Cricetulus griseus: one gene and its partner. The protein of the gene in region 2 purifies or fractionates together with the protein of the main gene of each other region. This does not show direct contact. Links are inferred from orthologs where the notes say so. Each region holds a gene or a part of one and is shown on either strand. Other genes may lie near its edges.

Region 1 (6,364 bases), on a different chromosome or scaffold from region 2:
GTAACACACACAATTCCCCCCCCCCAAAAGCAGTCTGCTTGAAATGTTTGAGAATGACAAATGTGGGATATGATTCTGAATAGGCAAGGAGAGTTGCTAATGTTAACTGATTAATGTAATACCTCTACATAGCATGATTCCACAAGGCAACAAAGTGATCTGAATCCAGCACACTGAAGAACACATCTCCAGATCACACAAAAACTCAACCTTTGCAGCCTTATACCCGGAGTGTATGCTTAGCTCTATGAAAGCTATTCTATGTAAACACCATTGTCACAAACTCTGACACAGATTGCCTCAATTCCTTCCTTTCTAAGGCATTCCTTAATATTCCTAGCTCACAGGTGTAGACACAACATCAGACAGCTTTTTTGTCCTGCTTCCACACCCTCATTTGAACACAGAATAGATCAGATTCCACAGAATGAGATAAACTGTGGTTAAGGGACCCCACCCCAAAGGTAGATGGGAACCAAGAGACAATCTCTTCCTCCATTCTCCAACCACTCAGCTCCTCTACCAAAGGTTGCTCAGTCAATTTGAGGGATGGGGGAAGGAGAAACTGCAGAGCAAAAGCCATATTCAACTGCCATCCAAATAAAAAAGCCGTCACTTTTTATTTCCTCTGCTTCCACTCACACCACCTCCAAAGACAGCTTATTAAACAATCCTGTTACTCTGTGACTATGTAAATACAGGTTTAAGATGCACAAGTATATTAAGGACGGTCTATTTGCTTCAATAAGCACTCCATGAGACAACGCATGTGTTCTATGCTTTTAGCTACCACCACAATAAAATGTAGCACTTTCAAAAGAGCTGTGAATATCATGTCTTCTAACTTTGGTAGCTTTTTCTGTGGCAAAATAGTAACTAAAACTTTTGGAACATAACTTTCTAAAAATTGTAGACAGGTAGAAAAATTGAGACATGAACTTTAGGCAAGTAACCTCAACAACTAACCATGGGTTGAATTTTGGCATCTCTACATAGTACACTAACAATCATGCAAAGTGGAGAATCTGTAACCAGTTACCCCAAAGATTCAAAATGCATTCGCACCGTCCTACCTAGAGGCAGGTGAGAATTGTTTTAGTCTTGGAAGTATCTATACTGACTGTGGACGTTAACGATACACACTAGATGATTACATTTTTTCTCTCCTGAGCTGAGCAGGATGTGCCTCAACATATCACAAGTCAAACAGAAGCTTGGAGGTGGAGTCACAGGTATTAATCAGTGGGTGACTTTTTCTATCATTCCCTTCCCCCGGGGCATAAAAAGTTTCTACAGTTCACACGGAGAGCTACACCTCTGCATACGGTAATAAAGTAGGACACAGTGTCCGCCATCCCTTCTCTCTGTGTCAGGATTGGAGCCGTCTAAGTGACCAAACGCCGCTCCCTATCCGGAAGGAAATGCAGCCTTCCTTTGCCTGCAACTGCCGGCTTTAGAAACAAACTTCCCATGGAAGGTCATGGAGGGATAAAAAGCCCGACTGCCAAGGATGAGACGGTGGGGCAGTGATGTTGAAGAGCCTCAGAGAGTCATTATAAAAACGTGGTATGCGTTAAGACAGCGGGAGATCAAAGCACTACCATCGGGAGCAGCAGGCAAAGGACGGTGGTTTTTACACACTGGGGAGACAGTCCAGTAATTCAGAATTCAGCACCTCACCAGGACAGAATGTACAGTCTGGAATTGTGCTCATTTTCACTCAACTTGGCCTACTAAGCAGAATCAACTCATTTGCCCCAAAGGTATTCTAGGTCCTCATTAGCATATTTTATTCCACAGGCTTTTATTTTCAGCTATTCTCAAAAAAAAAAAAAAAAATCACCATTAGGCTTCCTCATGGGACACTGCTGGCTGTTCAAGGTTGCCCAGTGGTCTTTTGGACTGGCACGATTCACCACTTTCAATCACTAATATTTTGCTTGGGGAACAAAGGAAATTAAACCCACCTCCAAACACAGCCGGGTAGGTTTTTAAGATCTCGATCTCTCTGCCCACCCGAAACCCAGCACCGGGAGGGAAGGGAAGCTCGCCTCCGGGCGCGGGCCGGGGAGTGCCGTCCAAGACTCTGCCAGACGTGCCCGGCGAGCGTTGGGTGGACCCGAGGGCGCGAACAGGAGATCTCTGCTCGGAACTCAAGGTTTGAATTTCCCAATCCTGAGCGGATTTGCCTCAGCACACGTCAGTAGCTGTGGCTCGGTTTCTCGAGGGGTCTTCTTTGCCCCTCCTTCTTCCGCCCCGCCTCGTTCTTAGGGAATTTCAAGAGTTTCCCCGAGTGTTACAAGTGCATTTACCAGCACTGGGACTCCCTAGGTATTCAGGGGCCCTTCCCAGGGGCTGCACCCAGCTACCCGACGAGTTTAGGGAGAATGGGGTGAGAAAGGGCAGCGTGGATGGGGAGGTATTAGACTGACAACTTAGTGATGAATTTGATCTCTTGCTCTTGGACCGGCGGGAAGCGGGCCCGTCTCCCCTCCCCCTTCGGGGGCAGAGGTCTGGACCGCGAAGCCCGGAGGCTGCGGAGAGCTGAGCTCAAGATGCTAAGATGGCAGGAGGGCGCGCAACCGGCCTCCCCAAAGCTTTCACTTCTGCTCCACTCTCGGCCTCAGCTGGTACAAAAAACAAACAACAAAAACCACTTCAATACAGACTCAGCTTGAATTATTTCGGGCTGGATTTAGGCGGGACAGAATGAACTCGGGGGCAAAGTGCTTTACAGAACGTGTTACCAATAATAATTTTTTAAATGCTTTAAGATGGAACCCTTTTAAACTGCACTTTAACATCATCTTTGCCTAGTGCTTAGCACCCTGACAGCGCCAACTCAAAATTGTCCCAACAGCTCCTAAGTGGCTACATGTCTGCGCAAGCAGGCTGGAGCGCGGGCGCGCGCGGCGCGGGGAGGTGGGGGGGGGAGGTAGCTCGCTCTAAAGTGCGGCTTCAAAAACGCCTTTCCCCCCATTCCTTCTAGGAGCTCGTGTTTTAGCAGTTGATTTTGAAAAAGCATCCTGGCACACACAGTCTCTAAAACGCCCGTTTCTCCTCTTAACGCTTCGTAAGTCACCACCACCCATTCAAGATTTCTCCTGCCCGGAGTTGCCAGCGTGGTGGAGTGAAAAGCTGGCTGTGCGTGCTACAGGGTTCGTCCCGAAGCACTGCGCTGGCTTGGACAAAGTAACTAGTGTTGCTCTAAAAGCCCCAACGGCAGCACCCTGATCTTCAGATCTTCTGGCTTAATCCTGAAAAGTCTAAGAAGAAACCACGTGGAAGTCAAGTAGCCGCAGCGTCTCAACAAAGCACCCCGTCACAAAAGGGGTACGCTTTTTCAAGGCTAAGGAACGGCGGCCAGTATTTCCATATGAAAAAGAAGCACGCAGTCTACAACACTATAGGAAGCACGTTAAGCAAACTCGACTGAAAAGTCCAACTCAAGAGCCCCCTCCAACTGCCCCCCCCCCGCCCGCCCGCAAGACCTACGCCATTCGTAACTACAGAAAAGTAAAATAGGGCTGCACAACAAAGAGCCAAATTCAGTAACTTGGCTCTTCACTCTACTTGGAAAAGTTTGAGGCTTTTACCTGTTGCATTGTCGGGAAAACTTTTGACCAAAATATAAATCAGCACGTGGAAACTAAAGGCACTTTGAAGTCCGTCATTCTACTTGCAGTACCCTAAGTCAAAAGGTGACAAGGCATTTATAAACCACAATAGAAGAGTTTTCCTTAACGAAAAAGACGCTAGAAGGTAAAGTGAGTTTTTCAAAACTTACTCTTTCGCTTAATGAAAGCGAAGCCGGCGCGCCAAAGCGGTGAGGCTCCTTGGAGGCTGAAGTCAAAGAAAAGGAGGGCTCAGGCTCCCAGACCTGTCTATTTAAAGTTTAAAAGTCTGCTGCTGTTTGGTACTTTCCTCACGCCTTCCCCCAATGAAAGAAAAGTGCTGATACCTCGTAAAAGCGCTTTTCTAACTTGGAGCACAGCGCTTTTAAAAGTTTCAAGCCACTGACTCAACTGGAAGGAGGGGCTAGGAGAAAGGGGAGGGAGGAAGAAAAGGCGGGGAGGAGGTGGGGAGAAGGCTGGTGAGCGTGGGGCTGAGCAGGCACTAGAAGCAGCCAGGGTCAAGATAAAGTTGTAGTTTGAACACGCTAAAGAAAAAAAAAAAAAAGAAAGAGAACAGCCCTAGATAGATTTACGTCCACCACCACTTGGCTGTGACTTCTCACAGATTAAATACTGTTGAGTCTAGTGCTTGCTTCACCAGATGACCAGGGACAGTGAGGATATGTACTTTTATGTTACATTTTCTAACCTAAAAAAACAAAAACAAAAAGTACAACAAATAAAAATGGGGGAGACAACGCTAACCAGTGCGGACTTGTTCTGGGTTGCCCAAGCTGTGTGAAGCTTGAGGTGGGTGTGAGTGATCTTTCTTATGACCTAATTCTCTTGCTCTTAAACATGGACAATTAACAAAGGAAAGAAACGGTGGGCATGGGAAAGACATTTCACAACCAGATGTGTGTAGGGGTATGTCTACCCTTTCAGCCTCTGGACTGTGTTAGGTATTTCTACGTATTCTTTCAACTAAGCACAAGAAGAAACGTGTTATGATATATCATGTATATAATTTTTGACTGAAGTGTTGATAGTGACCTCTACCAGATCTCCAAGGAAGTGAAAATTTATATCTCAGGCCTATTCAGGCCAACAATTTAACATTTAAATTTGCAGTGAGATGTCAGAGTTCTTTTTTTTTTTTTTTTACAACTGCAGACTAGAGTTGTCAGATACATTATCTTGCCTAAAGTGGCTCTGAAACCTTCATCCGCTCTTTCAATCATGTCCCTGGGAAGCCCAACCTGGTGACTGTTTGCCTCTCCACAAACTCTCTCCTCAGACCTGATGGGGTTTCTGAAGGCTTAAGTCATGTGGCCTCATTCCTAAGATCAGTAGCTTCTTTGAGGGCTCCCAGACATCCTCCAAGAGGGCTTGTGGTAGGACGAGTGCCATAAACAGGCTTCATTGGTATTGGACAGGGAAACCTCTTGGCCTTTGTACAGACATCCATTTGATCATGCTAAACTTTTCACACAAATACAGATACAGACCAAAGAAGGATGGCAAAGATTTCCTGGGAAATACTTCCCCAAGTATCTTCTCACTGCAATGACTAAGGACTGTTTGAAATCTCACCATTTGAGACACCAACATGCTCTTTACTTTGATTATCCCATTCTTATTAAGGTTTGCATCTCTTTAAGTTCAAAAAGGGAAAAGATGTAGAAGCAGAAACTATATTCTGACTTTCAAGGCTTCATGCTCAGCAACCTGAAATTAGTTGTTTTTTTTTCTTAACATTTATTTATTCTCTCTCTCTCTCTCTCTCTCTCTCTCTCTCTCTCTCTCTGTGTGTGTGTGTGTGTGTGTGTGTGTGTGTGTGTGTGTACAAGTGGAAGTTAGAGGACAACATGCAAAAGCTGGTTCTCTTTTTCCATCTCAAAGCTGAGCTAACACTGTAAGATCAGGAAGCAAGCACCTTTACCACGGATCCCTCTTATTGACCCTTATTAAATGTATTTACATAGTTTTTTTTTTTTGAGAAAAACAAACAAACTTCTCTCTGCATAGCTCCCAGGCTGTCCTGAAACTCACTACATAAACCAGGCTAGCCTCAAACTCACAGAGATCTGCCTTCTTCTGGCTTCCAGCACTGGGATTAAAGACGTGCACCACCATGCCTGGCTTATTCAGTTTGTTAACTGATACAATATAAGAGGTGGACATAATGTTTGAGTAATATGATGCTTTGCTACATGTGTAAAGTTGGTGTGTTGAACTCAGTATAAGCATATTTGTCTGCTGAAACATTTATCATCGTTTCCTATGGTAAAATATCTAGATTCTGAAAAGGAACTCTTTTTGAACACTTGATACATCATCATCTGTAGTCAATTTACCCATGCTTAACACACCACACTTAAAGGACAACCTCAGTAAAACCTAGTGTTCACAAATTGGCCACTCCCTGTTCCTCTTTATTTAATTTCCAGAAAGATTTGCTTGCTGGGTGTGGTGGCACATACCGTTAATCCCTCCTTCCAGGCAGAGGCAGGAGGATTCCTGTGAATTCAAGGCCAGCCTGGTTTATAAAGCAAGTTCCAGGACAGCCAGAGCTACACAAAGAAACTGTCTCAAAAAGCAAAAAAAAAAAAAAAAAAAAAATTTGCTTTATTTTTATAAAATTATTTGTTAAGTGCAATTATTACCAATATCTATTTTATTAATAACATTCCTATAATATCAATTCAGAATTAGTTGCAGAGGAAAAAAAAAGTTGTGATTGACAGCCT
Region 2 (5,691 bases):
CCAGCCACGTCTCCTCCTACACCGGGTTCCAGTGCCCAGCAGCAACTGATGCAACAGATGATCCAGCTTTTGGCTGGAGGTGGAAACTCACAGGTATACAGGGCAACCACCCATCCATCCTGAGCAACATCAAGGACAGGTGGAGTAGAGGCAGCAGTACAGGCTTTGCAGGAGACCAGACCTGGCTGGCTTCAGGGCCTAATCTGCCACTCAGCACCTGCTTGGTACCATGCTGAATGCTCTGTCTAGGAGAGTCATTTACCCTGTTTCCATCTGCCAGCAGATGACGAAGGTCAAGGGCAGGGTCTTAGGCACAGGCACAGAGGTGACTGGGGGTGTAACCTCTGTGCCTCTTCTAGAAGCACCATTCTGCAGATGTCTGTGTAAAACACTCACAGGGCTGAGTCAGCTTGATCTCTAAGGTGCATCCAGTACAAACTGTGACTGAGAAATGTCAGCAGGGCACTGTGAAGGGCTCTGACAGACACTGCAGGGCTTGCTGTGTGGCCCTAGGGAAGTGTATCTAATCAAGTGGGCAGTGAACACCAGCCTTCTGTAGCAAGCTTTCTTGTCAGATGATCTTTAGACTTCCAGCCTGCAAATAATGACCCGAAGACTTATTATGAAAGCTTGGCCTTAGCTTAGGCTTTTTCCAACTAGCTCTTATAGCTTAAATTCACCCACGTGGCTTGGTTAACTCTTCTTAGTATAGCACATCCAGCTTGCTCTGAGTGTGATGGTAAAATCAGGTACCTAGATTCCTCCTTCCTGATTCTCTCTCTCTCTGCCTGGAAGTTGTCTATTCTCTCCTGCCTACCTATTAGCCATTTAGCTCTTTATTAAACCAATCAGAAGGCACCTTAGGCAGACATAACAGTGTAAACAAATACTCCACAACAGCCTTCCTCTTGCAGGGTCTTGGTCATGATCAAGATTTATGCTTCCCAAACATCACATGGGAAAACACTGGAGTTGGACTTTTTGGGGGCTGCCAGCTCACAAATAACAACACAGAGATTTGTTTTAATTATGAAATCTTAGCCTTTAGCTTAGAATTGTCCCATCTAGTCAGGCGATGGTGGTGCACACCATTAATCCCAGCACCCAGGAGGCAGGGGCAGGCAGACCTTTGTGAGTTTGAGGCCTGCCTGGTCTACAAAGTGAGTTACAGGACAGGCTCCAAAGCTACACAGAGAAACCCTGTAACAAAACAAAAAAAAAAGAATTGTTCCAACTAGCTCTTATAACTTAAATTAACCCATTTATATTAATTTATGTTCTGCCACGTGGCATTAACCTCTCTTTCATCTTGTACCTCCTGTTTCCTGTCTATGCCTGGCTCACAACTCTGCCTTTCTTCTTCCTGGAGTTTTCTCTCTCTCTGCCCAGAAGTCCCACCTATACCTCCTGACTACCTATTGGTCATTCAGAATTTTTACTACACCAAACATAGCAATACATCTTCACACAGTACACAAATATCCCACAGCAAAACATTTCCGAGAGATATTTATAGGAGTGTGTTGAAAGAAAAGGCTTGTCTTCTGTTAATAGTTGTGTTTATTGGCAGGTTAAAAAAATTAAGCAGGTTTTTTCCTTGCTGGGCGCTTCTCTGACCTTTCCTGTGGTAGTAGATGCGAAGACTATCAAGAGGGGCATGTTTAGCATTCAGCGTATTTGAGCGTAGAGCTCTGGGTTCTCTTTGTGCATGCGAGTCTGTGTTGGAGATCAAACCCAGAGGCTGCACATGTAGGTGAGTGTTCTACCACTGAGCTACATGCCTAGCCCAGCTTTAGCCCTTTTTTTTTTTTCTTTTCAGATTATTTGTTTCTATTTTATATGTATGAATGGTTTGTCAGCATATATGTCTGGGCACCAAGTGTGTGCCTAGTGCCCACAGAGGCCTGAAGAAGTATCAAATCCCTGGAAACTAGAGTTACAGACAGTTGTGAACCACCATGTTCTAGGAATCAAAGTCAGGTCCTCAGGAAGATAATCACTGAGCCACTTCTCTGTCCCAGCATCAGTCTTTTGAAGCATCTATTAACATCTTCTGGAGAGCATATAGGAACAAGCTGACCCAGGCCTACCAGGGACTTAGGAAGTTTAACAAAAATATCGTCTGTTTTATTGTTATAGTTATTTACTAACTTGGGGACTAGGTTCCCTGTCCTTCGTTTGCATCTCACTTTTCCTCAGCTAAGCACAAAGCCCTGGACTGGGGTGGGAGACAAGTGGATACAAGAGCCATCCTTGACCATGGGGGTGTTAGGGACCTACTGGTATTATGTATACACTCAAATTCAAACTGTCCCTCTAGGAGACAGGCACGGTGTTATATGCCTGCAATCCCAGCAGTTGTAGGCCAGCCTGAGCTACATACTACATAGCAAGACATTCTCAAACAGAAAGGAAGGAAGACAGGGGCTAGCCCTAGGATGGGCCCATGCCCACTTGCCAAGGCCTGCCTCCTCCAGGTGCCGGTGCCAGAAGTGAGATTTCAACAGCAGCTGGAACAGCTCAACTCCATGGGCTTTGTCAACCGTGAAGCCAACCTGCAGGCCCTGATTGCCACAGGAGGGGACATCAATGCTGCTATTGAGAGACTCCTGGGGTCCCAGCTCTCCTGATCCCTTGGCCTGTGCCTCCTGCCTTCCCCACCTCTCAGCGCCAGCCTTTGGCTCTCTGTCAAGCCCTACCTTCTGTAGCCTGTCTTCTTTGACCTCTACAAACAGCAGGGTGACACTAGAGGCATGGGCACAACCCCACAGCTCTTTCCAAGGATTTTGATTCGGTTGCTATCTAATGAAATCTTCTCTCCTGGCCCTCTAAGCAGAGCTATTTAGTTTGCACAGTTGTGTGGTCAGTTGGCCCTACCTCCTTGCCCACAAGTACTCTGGCAATGTTCAGTCTTCTCCCAGGGTCTGAGAGAGGAGGACCCCGCCTGGCTTCCTGGAAGTCTTCCATCAGTACCACTAGGGATTAGTTTGCCTTACATTTACTTTACTCTCTTCCTTTCCCTCCCTCACCTCAACCCAACCAGTGTTTGAATTTCACTCTCTGGAAAGGAACTGATGAAATGCTATAGTTTTCTTTCTCTACCCCTATTCTGCAAATTCATCCAGCATATTCTCATGGGCTCCTTTGGGACTCTGAGGCAGGGAGAAAGATGCCTGTCCTCTTGCCCAAAGGGAGCAATGAGTCAGTACTCTGGGCAGGATTACCAAGGACAGACAAGACCTGCAGGGGCTGGTGTTGAAGAGCAAGAGCTGAGAATTCCTGGAAGCAGGGACTGGGGAAAGACTGCCTAAGCTGAATGCTTGGAAGTTCGAATTGACAGTTGGGATATAGAAACACCAGTAGATTTCAGGTTGGAGAACCCAGGCTCAGGGCTGACAGAAGAGAGACTGGTGGAGTTTGAATTGAAGAATGGAGCTCAACAAAGCTGAGCAGTGCAACCTACAAGGAATCAAGTTGGTTCCATTGTCTCCAACACATGCATATGCACACACGTGACCCAATGACCCAGGACATGCCTATATCTTCAGGCTCCAGTACTTTGAGCTTCCCTCTCCAGGAGATATGATGGGGTTGGATCTTTCTCAGCAGTATGGAGAAGTTATACACATACGAGCATTCATGAAAGTTGGGAGTTGTGTGTTCTTTGTTGGTTTCAGGTTCACAACTTTGTCAACAGAGATGAGTGGGTACAAGGGCCAGCCTAGTGGAGGAATATAGCATTGGGAGAGCTGGGTCTCTGGGTCTTTGGTAACCAGATAGCATATTGGATAATTCTAAAGATAATGGCTCTAACGGATACCCTTACCACCATTACTCTTGTGGAAAAAAATAGTGAGGTTTCTCTTCCAGAGCTCCTGCCTTTCAATTCCTTGCTGGTTCCCTCTAGACCAGAAAGTTCTATTTGAGGAAAGGGTGGGAACAGTGATGCCTTTAATAAGAAATTAGGTTTAGCTCAGCTGGAGTACTGAGGAAGAGGCTGTCAACACATTCTCTCTGCTCTGTGGTCCAGCTACTTGGAGGATCCCTGGCTGGGAGATAGAAGAACCCTGTTCCAGTTGGGGAAGGGTCCCAAGTAGTCCAGACATGCCTGCCCTTTTCCTCTCTTACTTCCAACATCCACCCTGGCCTTTGTAAATAAATGATTTTTGTTGTGAGAGTACATTGATGTTGTCAGTGTTTATTTCTGAGGGAGGATTCAGGTGGAAGACAAGGTCATTCATTGCCTGTCTTGAGTTTTGGTGTTCTGAGAAGGTGTCAATGTAGCCCAACCTGGCCTGGAGCATGTAGCAGCCTTCTGCCTCAGTGTTCCAGTGATGAGATTGTAGGCTGAGCCTCCACACTTGCCTTATCTTTTATGCAATGAAGCTATGAGGAAAGTCTGGTGATATAAGATTGAACCATGCATGGGAGAAAGAGACTATGCTTCAGACAAGTTCTCAGTGCAAATTCCAATGCTGGATAAAAGAAAAGAAGAAAAAAAAAAAGAATCAAGGGGAATGATGACCCCTCTCCCAGAGATGCTCAAGACCACTCCCACAGGGTATTTACACTGCCTCCCAGAAAATAGACTTTGTGCCTTTTCCTGTCTCCCTTTCCCATATCCTCTCTGGGGAACTGGAAGGCCATCAGGGAGCATTGTATCCATTAAACATGGGCTTTTTCTAATTCTGTTTGATTTGGTATGATTTGAATTACTACATCAGCGGAGGTCTTATTAGGGTGTGGAAGATTCAACAACCATCTGTAGCTCCAGCTCAGGGGACCTGGCACCGGCTTATTCTGGCCTATGCAGGCAGCAGGTATGCACATGGTACACAGACATACATGCAGGCAAAACAAACATTTAAAAAAAATAAAAGCTGGGTGTTGCATGCCTTTAATCCCAGCATTCAGGAGGCAGAGGCAGGTGAATCTCTTTTGAGTTCCAGGCCAGCCTGGTCTACAGAGTGAGTTCCAACAGAGAAACACTGTCTCAAAAAAACAAAAAGGAAAAATCAGAGTCAAGGCCAGATTGTTATTTAGTAAGACCTTGTCTCAAACCAAAAATAAAGATTTGGGGGTGGGGGGGGGACTAGAGAGATGGCTCAGTGGTTAAGAGCACCAACTGCTCTTCCAGAGGTCCTGAGTTCAATTCCCAGCAACCACATGGTGGCTCACTGCCATCCATTATAAGATCTGGTGCCCTCTTCTGGTGTGCAGATATACATGGATGCAGAATGTTGTATACATAATAAAAATAAATAAAAAAATCTTTAAAAAAAGATTTTTTTTAGGAGGGTGAAGCTGTTTTTGCATGATATTAAAATAAGATAAATGCCAACACAGTGGCACACGCCTTCAAGCTAGCACTCAGGCAGAGACAGGCAGATCTCTGCAAAGTTCATAGCCAGCCTGATTTATATATAAGTTCTAGGTCAGCCAGGCCTACACAGAAAGACACTGTCACAAAACAAGGTAATAATAGGTCCATAACTATACAATGAAATTTAATGCATTCAAAGTTTAAACAAAAGAGACTAAGGCATCTTAATATATAGATATAAGATATAAGGAATGACCAGGGAATGGATTTAAGGGTACAAAATAAAGGATATTTAAAGGACAGGGAGTCTCTACTTTTGTGCTATACTACACTCACCGATGGTGACCTGTGAAATGTAGAATCTAAGA

The links. The genes of interacting proteins can lie anywhere in the genome.
Region 1: the proteins of Ubqln4 (region 2) and Gja1 purify together in Homo sapiens (affinity purification with western blotting; 3 studies listed by BioGRID). This does not show direct contact. The link is inferred for Cricetulus griseus from reciprocal best matches to the Homo sapiens genes UBQLN4 and GJA1.

What each region holds. Positions count from the first base shown.
Region 1 is NC_048595.1:253,062,227-253,068,590, forward strand, and holds the start of Gja1 (gap junction alpha-1 protein), read right to left. Parts: upstream 3,965-6,364; 5' UTR 3,788-3,964; intron 1-3,787. UniProt on the Homo sapiens protein: Gap junction protein that acts as a regulator of bladder capacity. A gap junction consists of a cluster of closely packed pairs of transmembrane channels, the connexons, through which materials of low MW diffuse from one cell to a neighboring cell.
Region 2 is NW_023276806.1:65,937,752-65,943,442, reverse strand, and holds the end of Ubqln4 (ubiquilin-4), read left to right. Parts: coding exon 1-93; intron 94-2,320; coding exon of another isoform or gene 2,321-2,374; exon of another isoform or gene 2,375-2,477; coding exon 2,478-2,630; 3' UTR 2,631-4,180; downstream 4,181-5,691. UniProt on the Homo sapiens protein: Regulator of protein degradation that mediates the proteasomal targeting of misfolded, mislocalized or accumulated proteins.